Caenorhabditis elegans: one gene and its partners. The protein of the gene in region 2 interacts with the protein of the main gene of each other region in a pairwise test. Each region holds a gene or a part of one and is shown on either strand. Other genes may lie near its edges.

Evidence for each region.
Region 1: the proteins of sup-12 (region 2) and etr-1 interact in a two-hybrid assay, tested with the Caenorhabditis elegans proteins (one large-scale study listed by BioGRID).
Region 3: the proteins of sup-12 (region 2) and toe-4 interact in a two-hybrid assay, tested with the Caenorhabditis elegans proteins (one large-scale study listed by BioGRID).

What each region holds. Positions count from the first base shown.
Region 1 is NC_003280.10:156,340-167,221, reverse strand, and holds the start of etr-1 (RRM domain-containing protein), read right to left. Parts: upstream 4,122-10,882; 5' UTR 4,081-4,121; coding exon 3,898-4,080; intron 2,817-3,897; coding exon 2,579-2,816; intron 2,522-2,578; coding exon 2,396-2,521; intron 1,152-2,395; coding exon 1,072-1,151; intron 470-1,071; coding exon 317-469; intron 262-316; coding exon 144-261; intron 49-143; coding exon of another isoform or gene 1-48.
Region 2 is NC_003284.9:3,900,132-3,911,013, reverse strand, and holds sup-12 (RRM domain-containing protein), read right to left. Parts: upstream 6,424-10,882; 5' UTR 6,376-6,423; coding exon 6,294-6,375; intron 6,101-6,293; coding exon 5,943-6,100; intron 5,524-5,942; coding exon 5,394-5,523; intron 5,206-5,393; coding exon 5,136-5,205; intron 4,876-5,135; coding exon of another isoform or gene 4,860-4,875; exon of another isoform or gene 4,830-4,859; intron 4,201-4,829; coding exon 4,040-4,200; intron 3,969-4,039; coding exon 3,823-3,968; 3' UTR 3,343-3,822; downstream 1-3,342. Other genes in the region: T22B2.5 (Neur_chan_memb domain-containing protein), read left to right, coding at 1-81, 502-624, 773-845, 892-1,011, 1,061-1,183, 2,837-2,870.
Region 3 is NC_003279.8:12,736,087-12,746,968, reverse strand, and holds toe-4 (RING-type domain-containing protein), read right to left. Parts: upstream 8,883-10,882; 5' UTR 8,867-8,882; coding exon 8,693-8,866; intron 8,643-8,692; coding exon 8,430-8,642; intron 8,006-8,429; coding exon 7,310-8,005; intron 6,448-7,309; coding exon 6,199-6,447; intron 6,138-6,198; coding exon 6,000-6,137; 3' UTR 5,823-5,999; downstream 1-5,822. Other genes in the region: SUMO-activating enzyme subunit uba-2, read right to left, coding at 1,695-2,186, 3,291-3,477, 4,185-4,321, 4,467-4,555, 4,920-5,139, 5,185-5,259, 5,314-5,364; vps-25 (Vacuolar protein-sorting-associated protein 25), read left to right, coding at 10,382-10,452.

The DNA of each region.
Region 1 (10,882 bases), on a different chromosome or scaffold from region 2:
CCGACGCGTCGTCACCGCCTTCGGTTAGCTTGCCGAGCGCAGAGAGCACTGAATCGGATATTGCGACCGTGGGTTTTTTTCAGTTTTATTATATTTTATTGAACTACGTGTACAATTTTTTAATGATTATCAACTAAGTTTACCTGTTCCCAAAATTCCTAAAACATTTTGTTGCTGTTGGTGCTGCTGTTGTTGTCCCTGTTGTCCGTTGATAAGAGACAAAAGTGAGGCTACTGCTTGATAGTTTTGTCCACCGCCGAGCTGAAACTTTTGATTTGGTTTAGGAACAAAATATTGATGTTTTATAATATTTTACCTGCTGCAACAGCGCCGGATTCAAGTTTTGAAGCAAGCTTGCCGCGCCTCCTTTCGGTGAACCGGCTCCACTTCCAGTGATCATTGATTTCGTCTTCACGTCTTTGTCTTTTTGAGTGTCAGCGAACTTTACAACAAGCGGCGCTGAGCATCCCTGCAATATTTGATTTAAAAATTAGAATTCTATAGAAAGAACCTATAAAAATTGTAATTTTTGAATAATGATGAAGGAAAAAACTACGTTTCTAAACATATAATCTAAATTTGTAAATAAAGCATGGGAAAATATATGACTTTGAAAATTCAACACTCAACATGGAAACCACATTCATAAGAAAATTAGTGAAACTGCTTTAAATTTTGACATTACCTTTTAAACTTCAGGAAAAATGCAATTTATTTTTATTTTTAATTTCATAATAACTATAGTAGTTAATATTTTCTCGTGACGAATTTTTATTGCTTTATTAGTCTCAAAATTGTCTGAACACACCGAATTTAAAAATGAAAATTCTCGAAAAGTTCTCGAAAAAGTTTTCAGACAATTTTGAGTCTAATAAAGCAATTTTAAAGACACTAACATCTTGACTACACTATCCTTAATGAATAGAATTGGTAAAACACACTTTTCCGTTTAACTTTGACAATTTTCAGAGATTTTAAATTAAATTTAGAGTTTACAGCAGAAGGGTTCCCATACATACAAGAAACATATAAAAATAAATATAAAAAAGAGACAAAAAGCTATATGCGAACCTCCATCGTTTGCGAGTGATGCATTTCTTTGGTGGCGACGACGGCACAGCTGCGGTTTGTGAACGTTACAAATGCACATCCTGTTGGAGAAAAAACAAATATGAAAATATTGATTAACATTTAGAGATAGAGGAATCATCGACATTGGGTATATGTTGTGTGAAGCCAATTTCAGACTTCAAACTTTTATTTCGACACTCACTTGTTACTTTTACATAGAATACCAGGGCAAGAAAATGAAACTTTCATTTTTTTCGAAAAAAAAATCAGGACGTTACTTTGATTTTGTAGAACAGAAATTTGTTTTTTTTGTAATTCACACGTGGCAATTTGGTCTGAAAATTATGATTTTTTTTTTTTTAATTTTTTAGTCGAAATTTTTCAAAAACGTTGGGGTACTGTAGTCGGTTTATATTAGCTTTTGAAGCTACAGTAACCCAAAAATTTTGACATATTTAGTTTTCGAAAGTTTAACTTTGTTCAATATCGATCGAATATCGGCATCGAATATCGATAATCGAGGATTTATCAAGATAATTGAATAATCGGAAAATTGGATAAAAATTTCTGAAAAAAATCCAATTTTAAATAACTTCTATTTTTGACTCTCATTAGGATCAACATATTTTTGATTTTCAATTTTTTAAAAATTTATTTTAAAAATACCGGAAAATTGAAAGTTTCGTTAAAGCTAGGTATACTAACTTTTTCCGAAACATTGCTCTTCAAATTCACAGCTTTTTATAATTTTCTAACTTCTAGCCAAAAATGTCCACCTTTTGGGTTACTGTAGTTCAAAACTCAAAAGGTCAAATCAGGGGTGGGCGGCAAACGATTTTTCCGGCAAATCGGCAAATTTCCAGAAATGAAAATTTCAGGAAAGTCGGCAAATTGCCGGAATTAAAAATTTCCGGCAAATCGGCAAACCGCAAATTGCTGGAATTGAACATATCTGGTAAATCGGCAACCGGCAACCGGCAAAAATTTGCCGCACACTCCTGATACACACCACGCATTTTTTTGAGGGTACTAGCCAAAAATTTCAAAATGTTGGGTTTAAAGTCATACATCCAAATTTACCAACTTTGTTAGAAAATGTTCTAAACCCTGTGACAATCGTATCAAGACCATTTTGCCACGTGTAAATCAGCTCAATTTCGAATTTCGGAATCTTCTTCTTCTTCCCACCTTTTCGCTCAACATGCATGACACAGAAAATGATGAAAACATAGAGAAAATAGTAAAAAAGAGCATAGAGACAGGTAAATATTTTTACACTTTTTTGAAAAAGATACCCTACTTAATGCGCCCTTCCCCCACTTACCTCGACTTTTTCCGTCCTGATCACGAAGCACACTACAATCTTCAATATGGCCGAATTTGGCAAAAATCTCACGCAGATTCTCCTCGTTGTGCTTCTTGCTGAGCTGGCCGATGAAAAGTTTTCGTTCTGAAATAAATTATTTCTTGTAATTTTTATACTATTTTATATTTATCAGTAAATTACCATTTCGGTTCTCAGTATCAGCTGGTTTCATTTGTACCGGATGATGCATTCCTTCAATAACCTTTATATTGTGAAGGGCTCCTTGAGCCTCTATCGCGTCTTTTCTGTGATAAAATGTGACAAAGCAGCAGCCTTTGCTAGCTTGTGTCGATTTGTCACGGAGTATGTTACACGAGAACACTGATCCGTACTTCTCGAATAATCGCCGACAGTCTGTCTCGTTCCACTGGCGAGGGATCTGCAAAATTTGTATTGCGTTGAGTTTGAATTTTAAAATGTCATTTTTCTATTAAAATAATTGATTTATGGAATTATTCAAGTAGTGTCGCGAAATGTATTGAAATACAGTCTAATTTTATTTCAATAAATTTCGTGATATTTCGCGACACTATTTGAAAAACCCCATTATTTGTTGAAAATTGATGTAATTTAAAGGTGGGGTACCGAAATCTGAAACTTTGCTTTTTCAAACCCAAAATGACCAAAAACTATCAAATTTCGTAATGAGACGTTTTGAAATTTTCTCAAAAACAGAGTTATGGCGGTTCAAAGTTCTGCAAAAAAGGTCATTTCCAGCTAAATAACTTTTTTTTGAGAAATTTTCAAAACGTCTTATTACGAACGAAATTCGGTAGTTTTGGGCTATTTTGGTTCTAAAAAATCAAAGTCTCAGATTTCGGTACTCCACCTTTAAACTTTCAGAATAATATGATTTCTATCTTTGGGAAAATCACGAAAAATATAGATGTTGGCTACGTGTTTGAAATGACAAAAAAAATATGAAATATGACTTGCAATATTATTCCCACGATTTATTATTGTTCGAGAGAGCTATGAAATTCCCATAAAAAGCCACATGTCATGTGGATATTTGATTCATTCTTTTTCACAAAAATTCAATACACATACAACTGTGTTAATTTAAACCCTACTCTCCGCAAAAGTCCATATCTTTCCCCTTTTTGTTGTTGCCCTACTTTTCTCTATCATCATTACTCTAAAAAATTGATGATCATTGTCCGTCTTCATCAATTTGAGAATGCCCTTGAGTCGAGAAAACCTCCCTCATCATTTATATGGTAATGAACGCGTATGAAAAAATAAGGGGGTCGAACCCAAATAGACACAAATCCAATACCCCGTCTCCTCGTTATTCAGTTTTATCAAATTTGTGTAGTAGTAGTGAAGTGTCTCAGTAAATGGATGAGCGGGGGGAGTCTCATTGTGTGCATGTATACATGAAATTGAATCGAATTGGGAGATTGGGGTGAGCCAATTATGCCCACTTTTCGAATAAAAGTTTGAGAAAGTATGATTACCTGGCCGACGAACATCTTGATCGCATCTGTGTCTGGCTCCGATGGGGACGGTGACACGTCGTTGTCCGCTGCCGTGGATGGTGTTGTGTCCTTGGCATTAATGACGGTGGACTCCGCAATCGGAACGACTACTGACTCCATTTTTGGTACCACTAGAACTGCTGGTAGCACAGCTCCGCTCATATCATGGAAGGATGAATTTCGGAAGGTTGAGATTATGGTGGTGTGAGGAGATGTGTCTGAAATGGAGAAATTTTTTTTTAAAGTATGAAAATGATGAAATTAACAAAGAGTGTTAAAAGCAATGGAAATGCACGAATCTAGCAGTTTCATGGTCAAAACTATAGAAAAATCAACTATACGCATAAAAAGCAATAACTTTGAAGCAAGGTAATTATCAAAGCGAAAGGTATTTTATCGATAATAATATTGCTTTATAGGTTGTAAAAATATTGTGAAATATAAGCCGTATATTGAAAGAGAAGAGAGATCGTCAAATACTTTTGCCAATTCTACATAACATTTTTTTATTAAAAGTTAGTGCCAAAATATGGAAAAATCCTTATTATATTTTCAGATCAACAACTACTTCATTTCAGAACGAGTTTTAAATTAACAATTTTGGAACAACATGCCGTAATCGGTCATTTTAGATCTAATATGTTTATACGTTTCAAGAGCCATTATAGATATAGATTTCCAAAACTGATATATTTTTCCGAGGGAAACATTATTAGAGCTGTATACTTAAAAATCGAAATAGAAAGCGAGAACAACTAAAACAGTACTATTATCGATGAAATACCTCTTTGTCTGCCTCTTGCCTCTCTGATACCGCGCCGAGAAGGACGGTATTAACGGTGATTAAGACATTTGGAAGACGAGAAGAAGGACGGGGGAGAAAAAATGTTGTGTTATCAGCCGAGTTTATCAGTACTGCGTGCGCGCAAGGACCGTGTGTGTAAAGTTCTGGCCAGAGAAGAGATTCTTATCAAATCATTCACTCTTTTCTGACATTAATCAGTTCAAATGTGGAAGAAATATATTGATGAATGGGGCGGGGATCACCTCAATTTGAACTGTTCTCAGAGACTATCGCCACCCGACTGCTGCTGCTTTTTGCGGCGCGCGGGGCAGTAACAATACAAACAGAGAAGAACAAAAATATATTCCAGCAAAGGGACGTCTTCTATGTATTTGTTGAACACAAATAAAACAGTTGTCTGCAACGTATTTATATGTTCTCCAACGATTCGGTCAGTTCTGGATTCTAAGATTTTCCCCTTCTAAATTTAGAATATTCTCAGAAACTGTGTCACGAATTATGCTGCAGCGTATCAGACGGCTAATACATTCTGGATCCAAAACCGACAAAACGTTCAGTCTTTCATAATGTCAGTCATCTCGTTTTTCTTATTTTCCCCTAGCAAAGGCAACAACGGGGAGCCGGAAGAAAACCGATTATAAATGGAGTAGCCTGAAGATTGGCAGGGAGAAAAGAATGACAAGAAAATAAATATATATGTCTGAAGTCATTTTCTCTAACATGAAATGGAAGCCAGCTTACCTCCAGGCTCCAGAAATTGGCATGTTTTATTTGAAAAATGTACGCAAATTTCGTTGTAAGTTCTTAGGGTAATCTGCCTAATGAGAAATTTTGAAAAGGTTTCACTCTAAAGCAAAACACACGTTGAAAATACTTCGTCTATCCGAAAAGAAAGGGCGGAACCAAAAGAACACCGTTGTTGTAAAGATAGCCTAGAAGACTTAGTGAAGACAGCTGCTCCTTCAGGATGGATGCTCACGAGCTACCGTGTGTAATAGCACAGAGAGCATCACAGCTCCAAAGGCTCCCGAGAGCATTTTCTTTAGATCTCTTTTAGTGTACACCATCACTGCTGGTCCGTGCAACGAGAGAAGATTGAAAGAAGACGACGGCAGGGGGATAGCTAATTGTGTTGAACTGACCATTTGTCAATCTCCACGTCTTATTCTCTATGTCTTTTTGTCCCGATGAGGGGAGACGGGTCGTTTCATTTCACAGTGATGATGAGAATCATTCAATGCAAAAAATGAACAAATCTTTTTTTTGTGAAGCGTAAATCGACATCATTAACACACACAACACGATACGATACGACAGCCAGGACGGGGGTCAGGGTCTCGACACGATTATCCCTTTAAAGAAGGTAATGAAGGTGACATACGACAGGTGGCCATAAAGCCTGAAACATTCTAGAGGATACGGTAAGTTCCTAGGAGTGTTGTTTGTTCGGATATAGAAGCTTCAGACTCTAAAATTCAGAGGCAAGAATCTAGTCAAATGACTAGAGAATTGGGAAAATGTAATCTTTCTTGCCGTGTGACTTTGTGCGGCACATATGTTTTCCGTTGTCACTTTCTCACACTTCCCGCAGTATGTAATTTTCCAGATGCCGCTTTTCCTGGAAAACCATTGGCCCCGAGGGTTTGGAACCTAATTTAATCCTCGCCGATTCCGTTTTTGGAAGCTTTGGCCTCGAAGTATCCTGATCTACGAACACCTGGGTGGGTGGTGTAAAACAACCTTACAGATCATCAGAACTAAAAACATCTGGCGAACATATGCTCGGTTAAACTGACGCCTTCCGGAATAAGAATGAAGTATAATGAGAGTTGTAGGATATACGAAATGTTTAGCACATCTGATTGTAATAAACAATGCTGGTCTACTGTAGTTCTGAATGATTTCAGGATTTTCGAATTCATTGGCTATTTGTCCTAAAACGAATATCTTTTGAAATCTAAGATTGGCAGCTGTTCAAAAATCTATAAATCTAAGGCTGAATCTCGGGAAAGTGGAATATACGTTGACATTTACTACCCGCATCTATTCAGAATCGGAATATATTTTTTTAAACTGTCAGAAAAAAAAATTATTGAACAAAAATGAAAAAAGAGCATTTATTTCAAACGTTTTTGTATACAATCTTCAAGAACGATTAGTCGAAAGAATTCAAACTGATGTTTTTGTTCGTAAAAAATTTGTAAGTTGGTATTTTCTTATATATTGATATTCTGGAGAGATTCCAAAACCGACATACATCCGATTTTCTCGAAATTTTCAGGTTTTCGGGTAAAATGAGTGCCAGTTTCGATAATTTCCTAGTAAGACGGTTAACAAAAATATCCATGTTGCAACTATTCAGATGTTCTAATGTAATTCAAATTTTGCCATCAATTGCCAAATTATCAAACTTTCTGGCTCGGAAAAAAAAACCAAAAAGCTTCCAAAAAATGTGAACTATTGAATGAGAGGATGTGTCAGTCGCGAAAATGAAAGAGGAACGGAGAATTGGCTAAAGGCGAGCCGTGTGTGACGGGGGCTCATCTAATTCATGGGTACGTTCCCCGTCCCGTCGAAAGAGGAAGAGGCGAATGGAATGGAGGGCATAAAAATAAATGGGAACCTTTTTTTCCAAGCTGACAATGTGAGAATGGATGGAATTTTTGGAAAATTGTGAATTTTCTCAGCAAAATATCCGAGCAGATTACGGTTTGTTTGCTCAAGAAACGGGGAGCCAATTACCGCACAGTGTTTGCTCTCGGAGCCAGCCACTGGTTACTGTAGTATTCAACGAAAGTGAACCTAGTCTAGCGAAACCAACAAAAAACAAACTTGCAAGGACAACGACAAGAATATACAAATTGTATAAAACACCTCCCGCTGAAAGAAAAGAAAACAGTGACGATGGGAAGAAAAGGAGACGAAAAGATGTTCAGGAGGGTGGCAGACAGTTTAGATAGTCATCTAGGCACTATGTAAGACGGAGAGAAGGTAGACATCTGAAGATACTCCCCTCTTTTTTCCAATCGAATCGATAGAGAGAAGACAACGGAGGAGGAAAGATGAAGAAAATGAATGATGATGCATCGAGACGGTGGTAAGATGCTTGCACAACCCGTCAGGTGTTATAGTCGCTTAATCAGACGCCTTTCGTTGCAAAGCTTGTGATAATTTGAATAATTTTTAATTTGGTAAAATGTAGGAGTGACCGAATATAATTTATACTAAAAAAAACATTAATACATATGTTCCAAAAAAATTTCCGTTTGGCAATTTTTTTGCCAACAAATTCGGCAAATTGCCGGTTTGCCGATTTGCCGGAAATTTTCAATTCTGGAAATTTGCCGAAAATTTTCAATTCCGGCAATTTGCCGGGTTGCCGATTTGCCGGAAATTTTCAATTCCGGCAATTTGCCGGATTTGCCGGAAATGTTTAGAAAGACGAAAGATTTAAAACTGTGTCTATTTTTTTGAAACTTTTTCGTTTTCTTTATATATTTTCATAGAATTTTCTTACTTTTCGAAATAGTTGTAGGAACATTCATAGGATGCGTACAATTTTGCCGATTGAAATTGAAATTCTGGAATTTCAAAAAAAAAATGCGCAAAAACACAATTTGTCGAAAATTTTCGGCTATTGCCGTTTTTCCGGCAAATCGGCAATTTGCCTTGCTGGAAATTTTCGATTTCGGCAATTTGTTGGAAAATGTCGTGAGCCGCCCACCCCTGGCCCAGACTCCAAAGCAAGTCCCGTTCAGTTGTAGGCTGGAGCTGTTTTTCACAACAGCTCCAGCCTTCTGTGTCCGAATCCGCTTCGAGAATTACGGCTCCCATGTCTTCCGTTCAAACTGACTTCTTTTATGATTACAGGTGTTTCATCTTCTTGCTTCCTCGTTTCCCCGGAGTCTCTCACTTTCGATTTCAATTCGAGTGACCTAGTTTTTTCAACCTCGCGGCCCCCGAATTGAAAATGTTCCATTTGCTATCACAGAGGCGTACACACACACACAAGCGTTAAACCAAAGGAGGCAAAGACCTAAGATTGAAAGGAAAAAGAAGAGACACCGCAGTAGTAGTAGTAGAAGTCGTCAATTGAAAGCGGTTTGACCTTCGGGGGCAGGGGATATGGGGCAGAAGGGAATTATAGCAACATTTGGGTGAAAAAATAGTAATACTTTCTGGAAAGGAAAAGCCGACATCCAACCAACAATCATTCAATGGGAAATGTGGCTAACCTGCGTAGCCTTGGCTAACGAAGTTATCGGTGTCTCCGGAAAACAACGAGAGACTCGAATCATTTCCGACTAGTTAAGTCTCACACACACACACACAAATGTGCGCGCGCGTGCACGCGGAGCTTTGTGAGCTCCAGAGCCAAACTAAATTAGGAGAATAAAATCCACCTGCCTTGTGGTGTGAGATTGAATTTTCTGCTTATCAGTTCTATTTTCGAATTGCTAAAATTGATCAAAGATTGCGAAACGAAATTGTTTCAATGAATTGTTATAGAACTTCACGTGAAGCCCTTTAGTAAAGTTTAGTCCAAATATGATTTCACACGACATACAGACATTCTAGCCTATGAGCTCAGCATGATTTTGGAAAACGACGACGTTAACGACATAATGGTGCTAGAATCACTCGCAACTCTAAGGTGGAGTAACGGAAAATGAAGGAATGGGATTCTGTTTTTAAATACCCAAAACATTCCGTAATCTAGAAATGCCACTAATAGAAATATCGTATTTAATTCAACTTTGAAGAAAAGTGGTCTGCTAGACTATTTAGTGGAATTTATCATTCTTTTTGGATTCCGAAATTTAGACTATTTCGGGTAATTTAGAAAAAAACCCCAACTAATAAAAAAACTGGATTATTCAAAATCCGGAGAAAACGGTATGCGACGAATCGGATACCTAACTATATCTTTGACAGAAAAAAAACCTATGGATTTTGAAATAAACACGGAAACTGAAAGATAAAGTATCAATAAAGGAGCGTCTTCCGGCGAGAATCGCCACAAGAAACTTGCCCATATCGAATGGATGACACAACAAACAAATACAAGCTTCTCCTCTCTCCTCGGGCACTGTCTCACATATAGGCAACTAACAATTAACGCCTTCTTCGTCTGTTTAATTATTCCCGATGAGATGGCAAAAACAGTCCATGTTTGGTTTGGTTTCGAGGTTTATTATTGGGCGAGGAAGCTGGTTTTTCAGTACTTGACAGAAATTAATCAGTGTCCACACACACTGCAACGATTGATATCGATAACAAGTTGTATAGAGAGTGATTATATAATACTTATTGCGTCACAAGCAAGGGTGCCGTTTTTCGATTTTTCAACTTTCCAGAAAATCGAAAAAAGAGGTTTCTAGAAACAAAAATGCCGGTTTTTAGGTGTATTTCGACGGCAAATTAAAAAAAAACGGAATTTTTGATTATTTTCCGTTGTTTTTTATTGAGAAAATTTAGAAAAAAAATGGATTTTTTTAAATTTAACAATCTAAAATATCAAAAAATTTATAGTCGATGAACAAGAAAGTTTCATTTTTTGGATGTTTCTTTAGTGGAAATTGAAAATGTTAAATTTTTTTTAAATTTCCAATTATTTATTGTGAAAGAAAAACAAAATTTTTCGATTTTTCGGTGATTCTCTGTTTTTTTTGTTGAGAAAATCGAAAAATTGAGAAACTTTAAAAAAACAATTGAAAAATAATTAACGGACATCTTTTCTTTTGGAAAAAAAAACGCCTATTTTTTCTTATTAAAATTTTGATAAATCCTTCTTTCTTTATTTTTCAAGGTTCCATATTTCGATTTTCGCTGTGAAACGACAAAATAACTGAAAAACATGGAGAAACTGAAACTTTTTGTGTAATTTTCTAATTTCAAAAGGTAAGAGGCAGTTTGCATGATGATTATGATGAGATGTTTGAGGGATAAGCCGTAAAGAGTCACAAAATAAAAGAAATGATGTCCTTGTAAGTCCTGGAAGACACATTCACAAGGATTAGGATGAAGAGAGCGAAGGAAAGGATTTGCGCGTGGCGGAATAAATTCGGAGGTGATTTTATCGGCGGAAAGCGAAAACGAATTTGAAAACCGAAATTTCTAACTAACTTTGAAACGAACAAAATAATTATTATGGAGTGG
Region 2 (10,882 bases):
AATCAGATATCAAATTTGTTGAGAATGTTGTTCTATTGAACATTTTGATATACTCTGTAGTGACATCAATCGGAGGATTAGGTTTGTGCATCTAATATAAATAGCAATACTAAATTTTGCCAAACTCATGCTGAAACCACATCATGTCATTCGTTTACTGAAGTAAAATCTGACAGCATGAGCTCCAGTGCCAAAATGATTTTATATCTTTTTGTTACTCGCTTCGTTTCAATGTTTTAACGCCTGTTTAGCATTCGAAGCTTAAGCGGTTTGAGAATTCAAAGAAAATAAAACCCAAACTTGGTGTTCTTCAAAAAAATGATTTTTACTGTGTGATCAGAATTGAGTTTAAAAAAAAAGTTGAGTGAGTACTGGGACCGGTGTAGTTTAACAACAGCCATATATTGCTATAATTGAACTTGAATTGATTTGAACATTAGATTAATAGGAAAACATAAGTCTGCCAGTCCAAATATCCATTCAAACTGACTTGTTTTTCAGGCGTTTGTGAAATTAACCTACGAAGTAAAAGAGAAAAATACTTCCGAGTCATCTTCTGGATTTTTATCGTCTTCATTCATCTATGTCAGGCTGTTTATGTATCTCTATCTCCAATGAAAAATGGTAAATGTTGTGCAAGACTTTATTTTTCGTTTTTATTAACGTCAACTGTAACTGTGTGAATGAGCAATACATAATGTTTTCTTTAAATAAAGAAAACTATCTTAAAAACTAAATATATTCTCATTTTGAACAATAAATTGATTTTCAGCAACATTGGTTGCTTCTGCATGTTACTCTGCCAATGTCTTGAATGATTTGAAATCTCTTCCAATTGGTGAATTGTGAGAATTTTTCATTTTCAAAATGAACTAAAACAACTATTTTCAGAGCTAAACAATCGACTATACTCTGTTCAGAACTTCGTGGAACCGAAGAGATGGAATCTGTTATGGTGGAACCGAGACGATCTAGCATTTTCGACGATTCATCAGAACATGAAGTTGATATGTAAGTAAACCTCTCTTTTAAGACCAAATCTAGAATCAGATTATTTCAGTCTATATGCCCGACTTTATTATAGTCTCTTGATGTTGTCCGTTGCATTTTCCACTTATCACATTTTTGCTAACATGGATAAACCTGAAAGTCTCGAGAATACGCTGAAATGTGTCTTACACGTGTAAGTATTAGGTTGGTCCGGAAGTCTTTATAACTGGGTTTGCTTTTCCACCGCTCGCCACAGTTGCACTTTGGTATTCCCTCGTTGCTAGTGAATAACAACAAGAGTAGGAACTTCATTGTAAGCAACACCTCATTCCCTTCCCTCTGGCCTGAAGTTAGTTAACCAACGATGTATGTCCCTAGTGCGATCCACATCCGATATGGTTTGATGTACCTCTTTCTCTCTCATACCACGATGAAGGAATCGGAAAGTCTCCTCAAGAATGTTTATGATTCACATGTCCCCTACTATAATATCATACGCAATTGGTTCCAAAGCTTCGAGAAGGACGACTTTTCTCTCGAAGACTCTGAGACCCCATAAATTGGATTTGGACACGTTGCAGAAAGCCATGGCAACGGATCCTTTCCAAATCACCCGTGAGCTGTCAACCACACTTGGGTCCCGTCAAACCAACATCGTACAAGATTCAGTTAATACAGGGTGGCCCATAACTATGCGGACCGCAAGTCGTACTCATAAAATCTGATTGGAACATTCAAAAATATGATAACAACACATATTTTATTTCAAATTTTCTAAGGAACAAAATTTGTTGTCAAACTTTCAAATTTTCCGCTTGTGAAATTCTACAGGCCTGCTGACATTCCTAAAAAATTTTGACGTTGGCACGCAACTCATTGGTGTTCTCCTTTTTGTTGTCATTTCTAGGTTCTATTGCAAATATCATCACTTTAGCAATCATATTTGGATTGACTTTTTTCTGAGAATCCGTTTTGCAATAAAATTCATAAATGTTTTCATCTGACATTGATGTGGTCATTGATTGAAGGGAGACAAATCAAGAACATCAGAAAGCCGACGTTCCACTTGGCACATCAGTTATGTAAAAAGTGAATGTTTTGATAAATAGCCATATGATTCTACTAATATTTTTCTTTCCTTGTGGCAACAATTATGTGCTTATCTCATTTTATGGCTGATATATACCAAAAACTGTCACTAGCTATTGAACTCCTTGTAAAATCGGCTGTAGTTACTGTCAAACAATCACCCAACAGGAGCTGGAATTTCATGGAACCAATTCCATATACTTCAACATTTATTAAAATATATTTTTCGCTTCCAAAATGTATACATTACTGTAGAAAAGATCGGTTTCGAAATTTCCACACTCAAAAATCGATGCGTGTCAAAGAGTCGTCAGTGTGGGAGATGATGCTAGTTTGACGACTCTGCCTAGATTGCGTAGTTTAACAAATCACATTTTTTTAAAGTTAGCTAATAGGAAAACATGTCAGCTATCAATGAACAAATAAAACAAAAATTTAAAATTTGTCAGGCGAGAAAAAAACATATTTTTGTGAGAGCAACTCGGTCCGCATAATTATAGGCCACCCTGTATTATTATCTCCTCATTTGTTTTAAATTTCTAATTAGATATCTAAGAATGCGAAGATTTATAAACAAAATCCCCTCACCATACTCAATTTTAAATATTGTTAGACTTTCTAGTCTTTGAACTTCATTCGAAAAAGTTTCAGAATATTTTAAAAATTTAATCATTCTATCGTGCTTTAAAAAGGGTTTTAAAATTGAGAGATGGGATATTTGGAACGGTAGTTTAATTTTATAACGTTTTGTTTTCAGTGGTGGCCAAAATGTCTCGAGCAGCTTAAAATAATTATTCTCTACCCTCATTTCGGTTAGTTATTCTACTATTTACTATTTGTAGATGGTTTCTCAAGGCATTTCAATTTTTTTTAATTTTCAGCCTGAAATGTCATTCGGAAGTGTTCAATGTCATCTACTACCACTACTATCAGTTTTAGAATTTACAGGATCGACAACTTCAATCAGTCAGGATATTATATTTTCAGAGCCAGTTTTTTCTTCTTTCACAGGTTCTTTTCCCTATTTTTTTGGATGGAAAAAATTCGTCAAAAAATTATCATTCATTCTAAAAGTATCATTCTGCCTAGTACTGTATTTTTTGTTTTAAATTCGATCTACGAAACTACAATATAGTATTGCATTATTTCTTACTGTTTGCCAAGATGACCTAATGCTGCAACTAGTTCCTGTTGTATCCATCTGCCTTCTGTTTAAACCCCCGTTCATTACAACTACTTCCAGTTTCTGCATCACACGTGATTAGGTTTTGAAATCGGTTTATTGTAAACATTAAATGCAGGAACATGTACGACTATTACGAACTCACCATATGAAATTAATTTGCAAATTCAATGAGGATGTGCAAATGGCACATTAAAATCAGGCAACTCTGGCGTTTCGGGAAAAAATTGAGAAGAAAAAACATCGAACGTGTAGAAACCCACATCAGAGATTTGTAATTTGAAATGAATAAGAAAAAAATTGACAAAATCAAAAAGAACTGTGACTAAAATTGTAAAGTATATGGGAATAAAGTTGAAATTGGAAGACTAGATAGAACTGTTTGATTTGCGTAAGAATCTGATATTTGGGTAGGACAAAGTTGTAAAATTATCAGTATAACTCGGGCAAATACCTATGTTCTCTATTGGCAAAATCAGTTGGCGAATTATTGCTGGGACGACAATGACAATCGGTTTTATGAATGAGTGAATGACAAATTGAAGAATATTATTAGGATTCTAGACACGTTGATGCTCAAGCTGTTGTTGTGCGGCAGCTAATTGTTGCAACTGTGGGTTTCCAATATTGTAGGCAGATTGGGGAACTAGGCCGTATCCTGCTGGATAGGCGGCGTATTGCTCAATTGTTGTAGGGGCGGCTGCGACTGAAAATGTTTTATTAAATTTGAAAAAAAAAAATTTTTATTTAATTTTAACTTCCTATCGTCGAACATACATTTTCCTTGGGACTGAATACCATAAGCGGCGGCAGCTTGTGGGTTCATTACTGCGGCCAGAGCATTATAATCGAACAATTGTTGCTGAGCAGCGGCTCCTTGTTGTGCCATCAACGGATTGACCAGTCCTGTGACAGTCGGATAATACATTTGAGGAAGTCTAAAAAAAAGTATTGATTAATTACCGAACACGGAATTGACAGGAGGATGTAAATGCCAAATGCTGGAAATGAGGCAACAGTGTTTATCACAATATCACCCAAAAAACACGCACATGCGTGATAAAAATTCACTTTTTTTGGTTCTGGAAAGTATAATTATTTTTGTTTTTGTTTTAACAATATTAAGAAACTCCACATTTTTTCAGTTCAGTTTTTTTGAGTTAGTGCAAAAGAAATATCTAACATATTTGGATAGAATGAAAAGTAAAATCATTGACAACTTCAAAATTCCAAAAAAAAAAGTATCAGAAAAGACGTAACCAAACTATAGCAAAGTTTAGAAAATGCGTGATGGTTTTAGTTAGGCAGCCAAACCCATTGACCTACAAAGAAATAATCATCAATCCCACCAATGAAGAAAACAACTTTGGGGTGCTCAGTTCATTCAGGACTATGCAAGTTTTCACCAAGGGAAAAGAGAAAAACTCGAAATCATATAGGTTTGGGAAATAGGTGAAAATGAAGAGAAAGAGAGTATGGACACGTCAAAAACACAGCACTATTGTATTCCGCTTTTGGTTTGGAAAATGAAAGTAATGATATTGGCACACGTCAAAGCACGCCTAACCTTTAGTTTTAGGCATCCACGGATTTCGATTCAACCGGCCACTTGTCTTAAAATATTTTGGTTTACAATCATTAATATTATTTAAGTTATTATTAAACGTGTGAAGATGGTTGAACACAAGAGTACTTCTCAAGTATCCTAGGCAACTTTTGAGCTAGAGCACAAAGTTCTACAGTGTTTTGTCATTGCTGTTGTTGTCGTGTTGTTTCTTTTTTCTGTATCAACACAACTCAATTAGCGGTGATTTTTGGATGAGATAGGAATTGTTGGAAGTATGTCACACACAGGCAAATCACCGAAACTTACCCCATTCTTGGTTGAAACAAAGCCTGAAGTTGAGTGGTGAGTGGAAGTTGAACTTGTCCAGCGGCCAGCGCTAAAATGACCAACTTGGTGATTTTGGTTAACACAGACAAAAACTGAATAGAGATGCGCGACACAAACAATATCCTTTGGTTATGAAGGTTGTGGAGGATTGATAATGTTTAGCAGAAGCCAAAACACACGGGGAGAATAAAATGATCTGAGAGCTGCTCAAGAGCCGCACAAAAATTCGAAACTTACCAGCAAGTTGCACATTTGTTCTTGGTTTAGCTCCGAGGTATGCCAAGTTGACATTAGCCTTCCTTCCATCAATGATTGGATTTGGATCTTTACAAGCTCTTTCTGCAGAAGCACGGTCCTTCATTGTTACCTGAAAAGTTATGTTTCATTAACAAACATATGTAAAGATCATGTTTTTTTGCGAAGAGTAATCTTTCCATCTTTGCTGTTGCAACTATTTGTTGAGATATATATGGTTGGGAAATGTTTGCTAACAAAATACGCGTGCGATTCCTATGAAGAGCCGCTTGAGAGGTCAAAGCAGAACCGCGAGATTTCGGAAATTTGAAGATTTCTTCATCCACCTTGTTCCCGAATTATTTTCCAATTTAGTGAAGTTAAATCAAACGAAATTGTTTCCTCTTTTATCTGGACGGACAAGATAAAAAATGGTTAATCATGTCAAAAGTGATTGATGATTAGAAACCGTTTCGTTTCAATTGACCTCCAACGTAAGATCTCGTGAAAAAATATCGCAAACTAGAAATTTTTGACATTCCAGTGACTTACAAATCCATATCCTCTGCTTTTTTGTGTGTTACGATCAGTGATGACTACAGCCTCTTCAATATCTCCAAACTGCTCAAAATACTCGTGAAGCGTCTTGTCACTTGTATGGTATGGCAGACCACCGACAAAGATTTTGGTGAACATGGTATCACGGGAACCTGAAAATGAATGGAGATGAACTAAAAAATTTGAAATATTTCCAGTTTCTATTCCTATCGCAAGTCTTCTTTTAAGTGGAACCATATGTGAGGTTACACACAAAAGTTGCATACCACTGTCATTTTTCCCTATCTTTTTCCCTCTCTAAACCATCATCATGTGACAATTCGATGGGGATCACAGGAAACTCACCAACTACTGGTTCGGCGTTGGTTGATTGTGCCAAAGCAGCGGCAGCAGCATGCACCAGTGGATCTTGGACTTGGCCGTACATTTTTTACTTGATTTATATAGGGCCTAGCTTAAATACCGTGAAATTGACCTGCAAAATGTTTTTGTTTGAAGTTTTGTATATATATACATAGAAATATGAGAAGTTTATAAACGATAATTTAAAAAAACATATACAACATCGAAGGTGTGAATCAATAGGAAATGAGCTAGAGCCAACATGAAACTGAAAACTTTACACTGCTATTATCTATCACTCGTCATGATCAATGAGTTATCAGAGACCTTACTTACCTCAGAGACCACATAGGTAGAGATAGTGAAAACTAAACGAAAGGCGACAAATCGCGAGAGAGAGATAAAATAGAAATGGATAAGAACGAGCCGACGAAAAGCTCGCGCGCGCACAAAATCCGTAGGTCTGTCTCCGGTGGTGGGTGAGCCTGTCAAAGTTTTGCTGCTCTCCAAACAGAAGCCAACCACCGCCCGCCTGTCGTCGCAAAAATTGACTCTTTCTTTCCAACACTCTTCCCCCCGGTCAATTTTTGCCATAATATTTCACCACAATGAGCCGTTGCGCAAATAACACCACCTCTGGAGTATCGATTTATGTCATGCTGATCCAGAAAAAAAAGATTGAAATCGATGAAGAGAAATAAAACGCGAAATAACAACAGAGCTCAACTGACAACGAGTGGGTGGATGTTGGGATGAAGTAAAAGAAGAAGGAGGAGAAGAATAAGAAGAAAGAAGGCTCAATCAAAGGATGCGACAAGGAGAAGTTGCTCCAAGAAGAAAAGAATAGAGACAGAATGAAGAAATAATCCATCTCTGATCACATTGCATTCATGATGTGGTGGTGGGAAATACAGAATAATACTTATACTGTAAGATGTTATTTGGAAAACAATTACGAACTGCAGTATAATTTTTTGTTTTTCTTTTTCTGTGTGAAATTTTAGCTGAGAGGAATGTACAGAGGATTTTGAATTTGGCGGCGATTCAAAAATGAAACAACCATTTGTTTGTGCCCAAAAATAGCAAAGAGAGCCCAATTTGTTGCGATGCTACAAAAAAAGAAAAAAATACCGTTCGCTCAATGTGCTCGGACTAAGACGTTCGCATGTTTGGACAATCCGAGAAAGGCAGCGAAAACAGTGGGAGGCAAAAGAAACAAACTGATGCTCTCCTCCTCCCGGGGGCTAGTCTTGTTTTTCGGGAATACAATTGCTTCAAATCTGTGCGTTTCGAGTATGGGAGTCTTTACCGCCCCTCGTCCTCACCGCCTGATTAAACAATTGGAGGACTTGGAAAGCTGTTGTTGAACGACGCAGAGCACTCTGAATATGGCGGTTCGTCACATTTACATGGAAAAACTTTAAGGATTCTTATGTGAAGTGCCATGTGCATTGAAAATATGGGAAAGTGTTGAAGATTTGAAACCCGGACGTGGTGGTGTTTCTCATCATATCAGTTTATCTTCGATAGTAAGCACAGAGACCGTATAAACCATGCAGAGAGGAAATTTCACTTTTTTATGTTATTTATGTCCGTCCGCAAAACTTCGAAGACACATGACTGAATGAAACTGTTTGTTACAAAATGATTGATTAGAGGGGGGGGGGGGGGGGGTAGAACTAAAACTGGAAGGGCTCTGAATACCAAATACCAGAACCAAATTTTTTACTAAAGGTGAAGAAGCTTTACAAATAGTGGGGAAAAAGGGGATACCATCGAGTTTTTGCAACTTTTTGAGAAAACTATAGCACTGTCGCATGTTCAAATCCGTACAATGTGTGAATATTAATAATTAAAACTGATGGAGACCATCAAACTGTAAGGAACATGTTTCAATCGATGACTTCCAAAAAAGTGGCAAAAACTGAGTAGTAACTACTTTTCAAAACAAAATAACAAAATTTCAACAAATAAAAAATTTTTGACACTATTTGATGAGCTTTTAACAATTTACATACTAGCTAGCATCATCTTGAATGATTCAAAATTAAAGAGAGAAAATAAACAAGCTCAGGTGCATCAAGAGCAGTCAGCTGAGTTTTTTTGCCGGATGAGCGCCAGCAGGAGTAGAAGAAGAAGGAGGTAGCAAAAATATATTTCGAGTGAAAAGAAAACTGGTCTTAAAGGCGGTTGGTTCATCGCCCCGAAAACAAATAGGCCAAGAGCCAACGAAAAAGTGCGAGCGCGAGCCGTTGAAGAACGAACGAAACATGAAACTTTCCCCGGCTCGAGGCCTACGGCCTGGATCGGGAACAATCTACTGAATTGCTTCACGCGGCGCGAAAAACATGCATTTTTCCATCACCGACGACGTGCGCACTGATGATGTCTTAGGGCATGCCTTTGATAACGGCGGCAGATGCCAAACCTGCTGATGTGGTCGCAAAAGAAATAAATAAAAAGTCAATTATGATTACGCGTGTTTTCGGCAATCGTCTCATTTATTTCATCTTCCTTTCTTCGAAACACCAGGAGAAAGTGACAGAATGAGTGAGGGAGGGGGGGGGGGGGGGCCCGGGGAGGGTTAGGGCAGAAACATTTTGAGACTTGTAAACAGTTGACATCTCTACCAGTGCAATAAATATACATGTTGAGCTCCTGTAAGCCACTCTGGTGGTCCTCTGGCAAGCAGACGCACCAGATGCCTGCGCAGAACAAATGTCGTAAGAATCGTGAGGCGATGGAGTGGCATAAAGGATTCATAGGGCTGCTGTGTTAACTGCTGGTACCAGCAGCAGCCTAAGATTATCATTCCACGAAACAGTAGTCTAATGCATAGATTAGGAGAGGCATACATTGGTGATGAGGAACGTTTTCTAATAACTGAAAACAAGAAACGAAAGAAAATGTCAGGAGAAACTTGTGATGGTGGAAAAATTTCATAATGGTTGAGAATAGAAAAAAGTCATTTACTTCCCGAATGCACAAGAAGTTCTAAACAAATTGGAAATACATTGTTTCACTTCTAAACATTTCTCAACTAGCTCGCCTTTATTTCATTTAACCTCTTCTTTTCAAAATACTCCAACCTCATCTCTCTCTCTCTCTCCCTCTCAATTTTCAATCAGTATCTGGAGAAATTCGATTTGCTGCTCCTATTGTGCAGAGAATTTCTAAGAGACCCCTAAGAGAGTGAAAATACGACACCGTTTCGAATGGATAGAGTCAATTGCGATGGAATGTGATGCGGTTAATCGAGCGAAAAGTGAGACGAGATGGCTGAGAACTGTAACCAATTGGAGGGACGAAAAACGGAAATCGAGACGTGAGAGGAGGCGGCAAAGAATGCTGTTGATTGCGTTTATTTTGGCACAAAGAGCAGCTAATTGAACAAAAGAGCTGAGAGGAGGATAGACGACAATAGGGAAATATGATGATAGATGGAAAAAAATTCTTGTCGAAAGAGCAAAATGTTAGAGAAATGGGAATTATGATCAACTATGGGTTTTGAGTAAAATATTGAAATATGGAGAGGTTCTGGAAAAATAAATTAGAAATAGAGGTGCAAAGAAAATATGCAAATAAATTAAACAAGCGAGCGCGTGCGATATTTCAGTTTTATTCACTTTGTAGCGACGGGAAGTGAAAGCCTACCGACTAACAATACACATAGTTAGAATGAATGAGGCCCGTCATCCATCTCGCTTTCGCCGCACGTTGTAAAGTGTCCAGGAATCGAATCCCGAGTCTGAATTCCAGTGCTTGTCTCTTCTTTATCCCTCTTCCCGCCGAGCATTGTGAGCGTGGGGCTCGGCGGGAAGGCAACTGTCGAGCAGCTGCTGACAACGTAAACACCATTCTTCAACAGGTCACCCTCCGCCACGACAAAATCGCTTTTTGCTGCTTTCTCACTCAGTTTGTCGGGGGGGGGGGGGGGGGCTCGGCGAGCTCATGCATTGTCATGTTTATGCTCGCCGTGCAGTCGCGATGGTTTAAGCATACAGATTATGGGTGTATGACTGTTAAGGATGATGGACATCGATTCGCGGATGAAATTGAGAAGAGTTGTGTTTCGGAAAAGTTTGGTCGAAAATTGCGAAATTTTTATGACAAATTAGTTTGCTTATTAGGACAATAGGGTTTGTTTAACAAATATTCAAAGTTTTTATATTCCAATTTGAATAGTTTGTTCGGCTAAAAAATTACCTATTACAGCACTAATTCATAACAGTTACCAAATAGTTTTGTTTTTTGCCATTTTTTTCGAAATTTAATAAAAAAATTGTTTAACACCTACAGATGAAAACAGAAAATAAATGGACAGACTTATACTATTCTTAGTATTTAAAAATGTTTTGGAAAATGGTTCACTAAAGTTAGGCAAAAAGTTTTAAATACGGCGATGAAGTAATAATTTTTTAGACATTGTTATGAATGAACAAATGAAGTGGCCTTGCACAAATTTTAACAAAGTTTTGAATTCCGAGAAAAATGTAATATAAACTAAGATGTGGGCTATCTTTGCTGGAAAAATGATTGGAACGGTATCAAGAAAGTTTGAAAATTTGAGAAGAAAAATTTAAAATCACATA
Region 3 (10,882 bases), on a different chromosome or scaffold from region 2:
AAAACATGAAAACAATAATTTTTGGTTTTTCTTTAGAAAAATCTAATTTTATCCTAATTTTCCGAAAATCTCGATCACAAAATCCATTTTTTGTTGTAAAATTTTTGAAATTCTGATGGATTTTCTCACTCAAAAAATGTACAAAATGGAATTTCACAGAAATTAGCTCGGTGGAAACTCAAAAAAAATCCAGTCGAAAACTCATAGAAAAACTGCAAAATTCCAATTTTTCTTTTGAAAATGCAGAAAAGTTGCGTTTTCAGCCACTTTTTGAGCTGAAAATGGTGGGAAATTTTAATTCTGATTAGAACATTTGAAAAAAAAAACTAAAAATTCTAGGTGTTTGTGAGAAAAACTGTGAAATTCGCAATTTTTGTTTTGAAATTTCTGCCTTTTCTGGAATTTTAGGGCTAAAAAAATAGAATTTTTGGCTAAAAATCAAAAAATTTTCATCGAAATTCCTTATTTCTCACATTTTTAAAATCATTTTCATATTTTTCAATTAAAAAAATCCATAAAATCGCATCCTTCCACGCGGATTCGACTGAGTCGTCGCATTTTTAAATTGTTGTGTTAAAAAACTTTTTTTAAAATCAAAATTTCATTGAATTTTCGTATTTTTCACTAAAAAATTGGCTGAAAATTCAAAATTCACTATATTTTCAGCATAAAAGCATGGAATTTTCAAGTTTTCTGCAGTTTTTTCGTATTTTTCCAACGAAAAATCATAAAATTTCAAATATTTCCACAAAAAAACTGGAATTTCACTGGAATTTTCGAGTTTTCCATGCTATTTCATAATTCCACAGAGTTTGATTATAAAGTTTTAAAAACTCTAAATTCTAGGCATTTTCAAATATTTCAAAAAATACCGTATTTGAGAAAAAAGACAGCAACATTTGCAAAAATGTTGACGTTTCCGGCCTTTTCTGGAAATTTAGGTGAAATTTTAGCATTTTTTGGCTGAAAACTTCGAAATTTTTCGCAAAAAACTTGAGATTCCTGTTTTTTTCATCAAAAAAGTCCTGAATTTCTCATATTTTAATCGAAAAAAAAATTCAAAATTGGCTGAAAATCCAAAATTCGTTAAATTTTCCACAGAAAAGCTGGGATTTCACTGGAATTTTCGAGTTTTCCAGCTATTTTTCCCGGATTTTTAACATTTTTCAATTAAAAAATCCATAAAACCGCACCCTTCCACGCGGATTCGACTGAGTCGTCGCATTTTTAAATTTGTGTTTAAAAAATTTTTGATCAAAATTTCATCGAATTTTCCCAGTTTTTTCACCAAAAAAATTGGCTGAAAATCTAAAATTCGCTACATTTTTAGTATAAAAGCTGGAATTTTGTGCAGCTTTTTTCCGGATTTTTAATGATTTTCAAAAAAAAAATGAAATTCATAGGTTTTTCACGTAAAAACAGGAATTTTCGAGTTTTCTGCAGTTTTTTCCGTATTTTTCTAACAAAAAAATCATGAACTTTCTAAATTTTCCACTTGAAAGTTGGAATTTCACTGAATTTTCAGTTTTTTCTGCACCTTTTTTTCGGATTTTTTATATTTTTCAAGCGAAAAACTATGAATTTCGTTAAATTTTCCACATAAAAGTTGGAAATTTCCTGACAATTTTCGAGTTTTCCAGCTGTTTTTCCTGGATTTTTAACATTTTTCAATTAAAAAATCCATAAAACCGCACCCGTCCACGCGGATTCGACTGAGTCGTCGCAATACTCGAATTACAAATCACCGTTGATCCTTCAATCACCCTCACAGCCTCAGTAACAATAATTCCAGCAACAATTGCATTAGTTGATGCAATTGCTGGAATAATATTTCCAGCCATTGCTTTAATATCAAATTGTGATTTCATCGGAATCCCAAAGATTTTCGCTCGAATATTGGCACAAGCAGCCACAAATGACATAATAATTGCATGATCTTTATCAAAAGCCAGCTTCACGTCTGGCTCCGCCCGTATTTGCTCCAAGAGCTCTTGAATACACGTGGAGAAGACTTTTGCACACGTGGACAGTGTCCAAATTGAAGTATCATCACGTTGAGCATCACACAGGGATTGAGGCTCTCCTCCGGTAGATGAAGCTGTATGGAATTCCAGTGGTGATGGACGTTTTCGTTGTTTCCAAAGGTGTTCCATTTTGCAAAGATATTCGATATCGTGCAGGAAAAGCTGAAAATTTTGGGGTTTTAGGAGGTTTTTTGGGTGGAAAACATTTATTTTTTGAGTGTGAAAATGGAGCTTTTCTGAGTAAAAATTTAAAATTTCAAGAGATTTAGATTGTGAAACTTGTGGAAAAATGGAATTTTTCGCAGGGCAAGTCTAATTTTTTGGCGGAAAATTTGGAGTTTTTGGATAATTTCGAATGAAAATCGCGTTTTTCTGGCTGAAATTTGAAATTTCAAGAGATTTTGGGGAGGAAATAGTTTCAAATTCTAATTTTTGTATTAAAATTTGGCATTTTACAGGATTTTTGGTGGGAAAATTCTAATTTTAGGGTGAAAATAAAACTTTTCTGGCTAAATTTCGATTATAAAAATTGAAAAATTGTGGAAAAAATGGTTTTTTGAATATAAATCCACCTTTCTGGCTAAAAACATGGTAATTTGTAGATTTAATAGGTTTTTCGAGTGAAAATCGAGTTTTTTGGGCTAAAATTATAGAAAAAGCGTATTTTTGGGTGAACATTTCTCTTTTCGAGTGAAAATGGAGCTTTTCTGGCTGAAGTTTTCAAGTTTTTGGCTAATTTCGGGCTGAAAATAGTGGTAAATTAGATTTTTTGGTGAAAATCGAGTTTTTCTAGCTACAAATTTAAAATTTCAAGAGATTTGGAGCCGGAAATAGAGAAAAATTCTAATTTTTGAATTAAAATTTGACGTTTTTAGAGGATTTTGGGTTGAAAATGCTGAGAAAATGGAGTTTTTGGCAGGGAACGTCGATTTTTTAAGTGAAAATTGAGTTTTTCAGGCTGAAAATTTGAAGTTTTAGGCTATTTTAGTGGTAAAAACAGTGAAAAAGTCGATTTTTTTGGGTGAAAACGAGAAGAAATCACTTGAAAATTGGACTTTTGTGCCGGAAATCCATTTTTTGGATTAAAAAGGTTTTTCTAATCAAGAATTGCGACGGAATCTCAATTTTTAGGCCGAAAAACTTAGATTTTGTGATTTCTTGGCTTAAAAATCGTATTTTCTTCCAGTTTTCCATCGAAATTTTGCGGAATTTCCGATTTTCCAGCCAATTTTTCACATTTTTTCGCGCAAAATCCAGGTTATTAACCTTGTCGAACACTTTTGCAGCATCATAATCCACACTTTCAGCCCATTGACGTGTTCCAACTGGCGCGGGCTCTTCTTTCATTGCTTCTTTCTCTTTTTCAGTGGTAACAGCCTCAGTATTATCCGGATCCACTGCATCCATGTCCGGTGACACGTCATCGTCGATATCCACCTCACCGAACAGCTGACTGAAATTGAAAACGTATTAAAAATTTAAAAATTGCTTTAAAACCTTGAAAAATCGGTTTTTTTTTCGATATTTTTGGATTACTGTAGCCTCAAAAGTATGCAAACAACGCCGGATCTTACGACAAAGTGCACAAATTTCCGAGGATCCTCCGACGGTGTTTGCGTACATTTAAGGCTACAGTAACCCAAAAATACCAGAAAACATAGAAACTGACGAGAAAATGCACAAATGTCTCGAAATTTTGGATTTTTTCATGAAAAATTCTAAAACTTGAGCGAAAAGTTTATTTTTTCCTTAAAAAATTCGGCTTGCAATTCAAAATTTTAAGCAAAAATCGACTAAATGCCCTGAATAATGCCATAAATATCCATTATTCAGCAAATTTAGTCAGTTTCTGCATAAAATTTCGAAATTGAAACCGAATTTTTCAAAAAAAAAAAACTTTTCGCTCAAGTTTTAGAGTTTTTCGGCGAAAAATCTTGAGTTTCAATACATTTGTGCCTTTTCTCGTTAGATTCTATGTTTTCTGGTATTTTCGGGTTACGGTAGTCTCAAAAGTACGCAAACACCGTCGGATCCTACGACAAAATGCACAAAATCCGCATTTTGGCGTGAAATGAGTTGCGGGAAGGCCACGTAGCCAGAAAATGTGCGAAATTTTTTATTTTTCCGTTGAATATCGGAATTTTCGTCAATTTTACGCACTTAAAGACGTGTTTCGCCCAAACTGTGCAATGAATATGCTCGCTTGGAGTATTTCTGATCGTACATCCCGGGTAGGTTGTCTGTTGAACTGGCTTATCCACACACTCGTAGCATTCCGTCTTTCCACGCATGATCACCTGGAAAAATTGCAATTTTTAACGTAAAAATGTATTTTTAAAACTTAAAATTACTAACTTTCGGTTAAATTTGTGTTTTGAAGCCAAAAATCACATTTTAAGGCCAAAACCGTTAATTTTTCATCAAAAATAGCGAATTTCTCACCGAAACTTGTCCAAAATAACCACCGGATCCAGAATCGATGAGTGGGCGGTTTGCCGCGTGGCACATCCGATTAACATAGTTTCTTGCCGCTGAAAATTGGATAATTTTTAGAAAAAAGTGAAATTTCCTTCCAAAACAGCAAATTTTCTACTATTTTCAGCAGGAAAAAGTCATTTTTCCTTTTTTCTCAGGTAAAATATACTGCTTTTGAGGATTTTTATGTGTAAAACCGTATTTCTGCGCGTTTTATGTGAATAAAAACACGTTTTTGAGCGTTTCCGGCAAAAATGTCACATTTTCCGACTTTTTCACTTGTGAAACTTTTGTATAGCAAATTTATGTTTTCCTTGCTTTTTGTAGTTAGAAACACATTTTTAGGCTAAATTGGCTCTTTTTTGCGCTAAAAAAGCCAAATTTCCAGATTTTTCTGCCAGAAAAGATGATTTTCCATGCCTCGATTGTCCAGAGCGTTGAGAACAATGTCGTATGCCTGGAAGAACTCCATATTGTATTTTTTCTCGAAGATACTGTCATGATCAAAGGTTAGCTCTATTTGTGGGCAGAATTGCTTCACAACTTGTGTCGCCGTCGCAGCTTTCGAGCTCGAAACGTGCTCTTTTCGGAATAAAAACTGACGGTTGAGGTTGGAAATGTCGATTGTGTCCAAATCGATCTGGAAATTCAATTTTTAAGCGATTTTCGCGACGAAAAATTTTACCACGTGGACTTTTCGAAATCCCGTAACCGCCAGGTTTTTCAGCAGCTCGCAACCAATGCCACCGGCGCCGATAACCTGAAAAATTGAGATTTTCGATATGGAAAACGTATTTTTTGGTTTAAAACCCACCAAAATCTTGGACTGGACAATTTTCTCGTGTTTTTCTCTCCAGGAAGGCATGGTTTTGGAGAAATATTCTGAAAAAATAAGATATTTCGAAGGAAAATCAGAATTTTTAGAGAAAAAAAAAGATGATTTCGCGATTTGAAATTTCCCGCGAAAACTGAATTTTTTTGAATTTCACAATTTTAAATCGATTTTCTGCCGTTTTAGCAGCTATTCTAGGGGTAATTAACTCAAAAATATTGATTTTTTACTCAAAAATCGCAATTTTCACGCGAAAAATCTGAAAATTCGAACAAAAAATGAAAATGTTAAAATAAAACAATCATTTTCGAAATTGGGCCAAAATTTTTGTTGCGCGTGCATTTGTGCGTCGCCGTGTTTGCGTACTTTGTCTACCGTACTCCTCAGAAAACTATTTTTTATTTTTAATTCCATTTATTTTTCTGCTAAACTACATATTTTCCTGTTATTTTCTTCAATTCCGGTGAGTTTTTCTTGTTAAAATCTTTAAAAAAATTAAATTTTTATTGACTTTTCAAGTTTTATGTTCAGAAAAATGGTAAATCCTACTGGAAAACAAAGGGGATGAGGGAGAGACTGGGGGGAAAAAGGCAGACGTAAAAAGCGAAAAAATATATATATTTATATATTCAAAGCCGACAAAACAACGAAGAAAAGTGGATTTAAACTCATAAACCAGGCTGTGTTCTCAAAGATTCAGGCCGATCGATTTCCTCCCTGCACATGGGGCACCGCTTGTTGATGTCCAGCCATTTATAAATACATTCCGGATGGAAAACGTGATTGCATCGTAGTTTTTGTATGCTCTGAACATGAAAATCATTGAAAATCACGTTAAAAACAACTAGAAATGCTCCAAAAACCAACCTCTCCATCCTCAAAACTGCTCAAGCAGACCGTACACGTGTCCTCGTCCTCTTCGCCGTCCGTTTTCTTCGCGTACACCGTCGGAATCGTGAATGTGTCGATTTCCACCTTCGAGGCACCGACTGGAAGATCCAAATCGAGTCCACCGAACATATGATGCCGATCGATTCCGTATCGCTCGGACGTCGGGAATAGAAATTGCTGGGAACGGAACAGCTCAACGTATTCTCCAACGTAGCCTGGTGCGTGCTGAAAAAACATTCGGTTTGGAGAGGTTAAAAATCTCGAAAAGCTTCAAGAGCAGCCCTATTTCTAATGTAGGAGCCTAAGACTCTGAAGCTCGGCTCTCAGAGCTGAAAATTCGCATTTTTCAGTGATAACAGCAATTTTCAAACTCGAAAAGTGGTTTAGAAGCTACAAAAATTCATGGAGAACCTTGTTGTACACTAGAAATTCCGTAACACTGTGGAGCTTGACTCCCAGCGCTTTTTGGCCTGAAAATTGCATTCTCGATAAAAACTTTAAAATCGTCAGTTTGTGCAAATTGAAGTTTCAAGAAGTTTAAAATCTAGAAAATTGGCTCCTGAAGCTCCAAGAGCAGCCTTATTGAAAAATAGAAGCCTACGATTCTGGAGCTCAGCTCCTAATACTTTCGGAGCTTCAAAGTGCTCAATTTTGCTGCTGCTAAACGCTCAGCAACTTCTGAAACTGCACGTGGTGTCAGGCAGTCTCATTGCGATTTGATCTACAAAAAATGCGGGAATTTTTCTCCCAGAAAAATGTGACGTCAGCACACTCTTAACCATGCAAAATCAGTTGAAAAGTCTGCGTCTCTTCTCCCGCATTTTTCGAAGATCAAACCAAAATGGGACACTTCACCACCAAGTGAAACTGCTCCAGAACCAATAAAATTCTCAAAATTCAGCTGAAAGCCTGAAATTGGCCCAAAAACGGTCTTTTAAACTTCAAACCTCAGCCCGATGCCCACCCACGGAGCCAAAGAGCATTTTCTCTAATCCCAACACGGATTATCTTGAATTAATCGAAAGCTTAACGTTTTCTCAGTAAAGAAAAATGATTAAATAGCTCAAAAAAAGAAAAAAGAACTCACCACATTAATAGGTGAATTTCTGAAGGCGTACAAATTGTACGGATTGTTCTGCGGACGAATCGGAACCGGAGCGTGAAGCGTCGGCTGTGGAGGTGGTGGAGGTGGTTGTGGTACCGCTGCCGCCGCCGCGACGGCGACTACTGCTGCAGCGGCTGCAGCGTGTTGTTGAGCAACTGCTGCCATCGGAAGTACCATCATCACCGGATAGTTTTGTGTGAGTGGCAGTGAAAAATAGGGGAATGTTGATGCGAGTGGATGCGCACGAAGCATGGCTCCTGGAGCAATCGTCGGCGACACCGAATTGGGACCCGTTTGTGGTTGAGGTGGAATTGGATTCAATTGGATATGCAGAAGCGGTTGCTGATGCTGTTGTTGTTGTTGCTGATGAAGGTGTGGACATCCCGTCATACAGTTGTGTTCTGAACCGGGAACAGGACCCGTAATCTGCTGAAGACGATGCTCCAATTGCATCCGCTGTGACTCGTGCTGGGTCTGACGCTGGCGACGGGCTCGTCGAGCTTGTCGCATTTCCTGGTTGCTGCGCATGGCTCGAGGGCGGTCTGATGACGATGATGCTGACGTTGAAGGTAGAGATGAAGAATTTGACGTGATTATTTGTGAATGAGGTTCATCGGAAGTGTTCGTTCCGGATGTTTCGAAGGTGATACCGTCGAGTGATGATTGGTCGAGCAGTTCCTGAAATTATTAAAGATTGATAATATCCCAAGGATCCTTAAAACCATGTTTTTATAGTAAAAGACTAGTTGATCTAGCTCAGGATCCTAGCCGAATATAAAGATCGTAACCCGCTAGAATCTACTGATCTTTCTGAAAATCCTAAGCTCAAGTGGTATATCCGAGGATCCCAAAGATCTCAGAGGCAGATCCTCCTGTTCCGATGCTTATCCTAGGCTACCTAGATGAGGATCATAAGGATTCTCTTTCAGTTATCAGATCTTCCAGTGGGATCACCCATGCCTATCTTGTGAATCAAAAAAGCTACAGAGATCCTTTGGATCTCAGGATCCAGAGGATCCCAAGGCTTCCAGCCATCCCCACCGGAAGTTCTCAGTCAATCCGAAGCCGCCACTAACGACCTTCCGCCCCCGAAACCAATTACCTCGCGCCGAACCCGTTTCATATCGGAAATGCGAGTGCCCCCATCGAGCACTTCGGAGACGTCTTCAGTGTCGGTCTGCAGTCCCACACTTCGTCGCGGGTACATCGCCTCCTCATCTCGTTGACGCTTCCGATCTCTCACACGAGTCACGGTGCTCATGAGCTCGGCGATCACTGGATTTTGTGTCTGATCTCGGCGTGGCATCATTTGAAGCTGAAAATTCTCCCAGTTTTTCGGTTAGAAATGACCAAAATGGTACTCACCCTCGGCGCAGTTGTCGGTTGCCGATCGTACGGATGTGTCTGAAGCTGTGGATTCATGCAGAAAGGCCGACGAATTAAGGATTCCAGCATGCAACGATCGCCGAACGGTTGAGTTTCGGCAACGACGGTTGCCGATTGTGTGCTCGGGTCGACAAGAAGCGGTGCGGAGTTCATCTCCAGCTGGAGTTACCTGGAAAATATTTGGATTTTTTGCTGCTCTACGGAGCCAAAAATGAGCTTAAGAACGGAAAATAAAGGATTAATTTCTCACGTGATGAGTCAGATTTTAGCGTCAAAAATCACTTTTTCAGCCCTAAAATCTGCTGAAAATCACTGAAAAAATCACTTTTTCAACTCATAAGGTTCATAAGGTGAGAAAAAGTGAATTTTCAACTCAAAAAATTTTTCTAAAATGGCGGATTTCAGTTCAAAATTTGCTGCGGCTTACGATTAACCCTGAAGCCCATCATCGATCAATAAAATCGATAAATGGGTCTCGCCACGAATCGAAAAAAAAAGGTGGAAAAGTGAAGTAAAAAATCACGAGAGAAACCCTCGCCTTCTGATATAAATGCCAAATGACCATGACACCAAAAAAAAGAAAAGAAAATACCAGTTCACTGATTAACAGTGTGTCTGTGATAGGGAGGAATGCGAGGCGATATTGATTGCCACGTGGCAAGCTTGAACTCTGGGAGCTTTTCGTACGGAAAAGCCTTAAAAAAAATAGGAAAACCTATTTAAAAAAAGTGGAAATTCCTCTGAAAACCTCCTAGAAATTGGGATAAAAACGCCCAAAATTTCACATGAGTGTATTGATTGATTTATTGATCGATTGCCATGTGGCTAGAGTTTCACAGGGATATTTTTCACTGGGAAAAGCCTTAACAAAGAGGTGAACATCGCTTGAAAATGTCGAAATTCTTGTGAAAAACTCCTAGAAATCGATCGAAAACCGCCCAACATTCCACGTGAGAGTATTGATTGATTTATTAATCGATTTCCACAAAGCTAAAGCCTCACCGGGGTAATTTTCATGGGAAAAGGTTTCGAAAAAGCCTTGAAAAAGAGGTGAAAAGGTCGGAATTTCTCTGAAAAACTCCTAGAAATCGATCGAAAAACGCCCAACATTCCACATGCGAGTATTGATTCATTTATTGATCGATTTCCACGTGGCTAGAGCCTCACCGGAGAGGCTTTTCATACACAAAAAACCTTGAAAAAAGGTGGAAAAAACGCCGAAAAAAGGGGGAAAAACTGGTGAAAGCAGCATCAGCAGCAGTCAGCCCCAGCCAGTCACAGTGTGTGTGTATCTGGGGAAAAGGGGAAAACGACGCGTTGTGTCGTTGGGGGGCCTGAGAGGCGTGCGGGGGGCACCCGGCATTCTCTGTGCCCTCTGCCTGCCTGCCTACTCTCTCGCCTACTTTCTCTGTCTTATCCTCTCTCTCTCTCTCTCTCCTTCTTTCTCTCTGGGAGATTCTGAGGGCTGTGTGTGAGAGAGAGAGAGAGAGAGAGAGAGAGAGTGTGTATTGATTGGGCTGTCAGACACACACACACACACACACACACACACACGCGCGTGGTTGTTCTCTGCGTCTATAATTCTCTCTCCCTCTCGTCCTCTCTCTCTCAATTGAGGATTCCTCCCAGGGAAGGTGGTGGTCCCCTTTTTACTCTATTTTATTCTAGATGGCTGCTGCAACTACTACAGCTTCAGCATTCAAATGGCCTTGGCAATACGATTTTCCGCCATTTTTTACGTGAGTTTTTTTGGATTTTTTGAGTAAAAAAATTGGAAAAATTCCAATTTTTTGACCCGAAAACCTGCTAAAGTAGGTGAACTTGGCTCGGAGAGGCTTAAAAAGCTTGAACGGCCTATTTCGGCTTGAAAAGCCTTAATTTTAAGTCTGAAAAGCTCAAAATTAAGCAGGAAATAGCTCAGTTTTAAGCTAGAAAAGCTTAGATCGAAAAACCTTAGTAAAAGCCTAAAGAGGCTCGAAATTGGCTTGAAACTCCATTTTAAACCAATTGCAACTTGAGTTTGAGCAGCAAAAGCTCAGAAAAGCTTGGTTTGAAAAAGAAAACTATGAGCCTCAAAAAGAGCTTGAAAGGCCTAATTTTAAGCCTAAAAATGTTTGAAAATGGCTTAAAAAAGGGCCTGAAAGGCTCAATAAAAAGGCAAAAGATGCC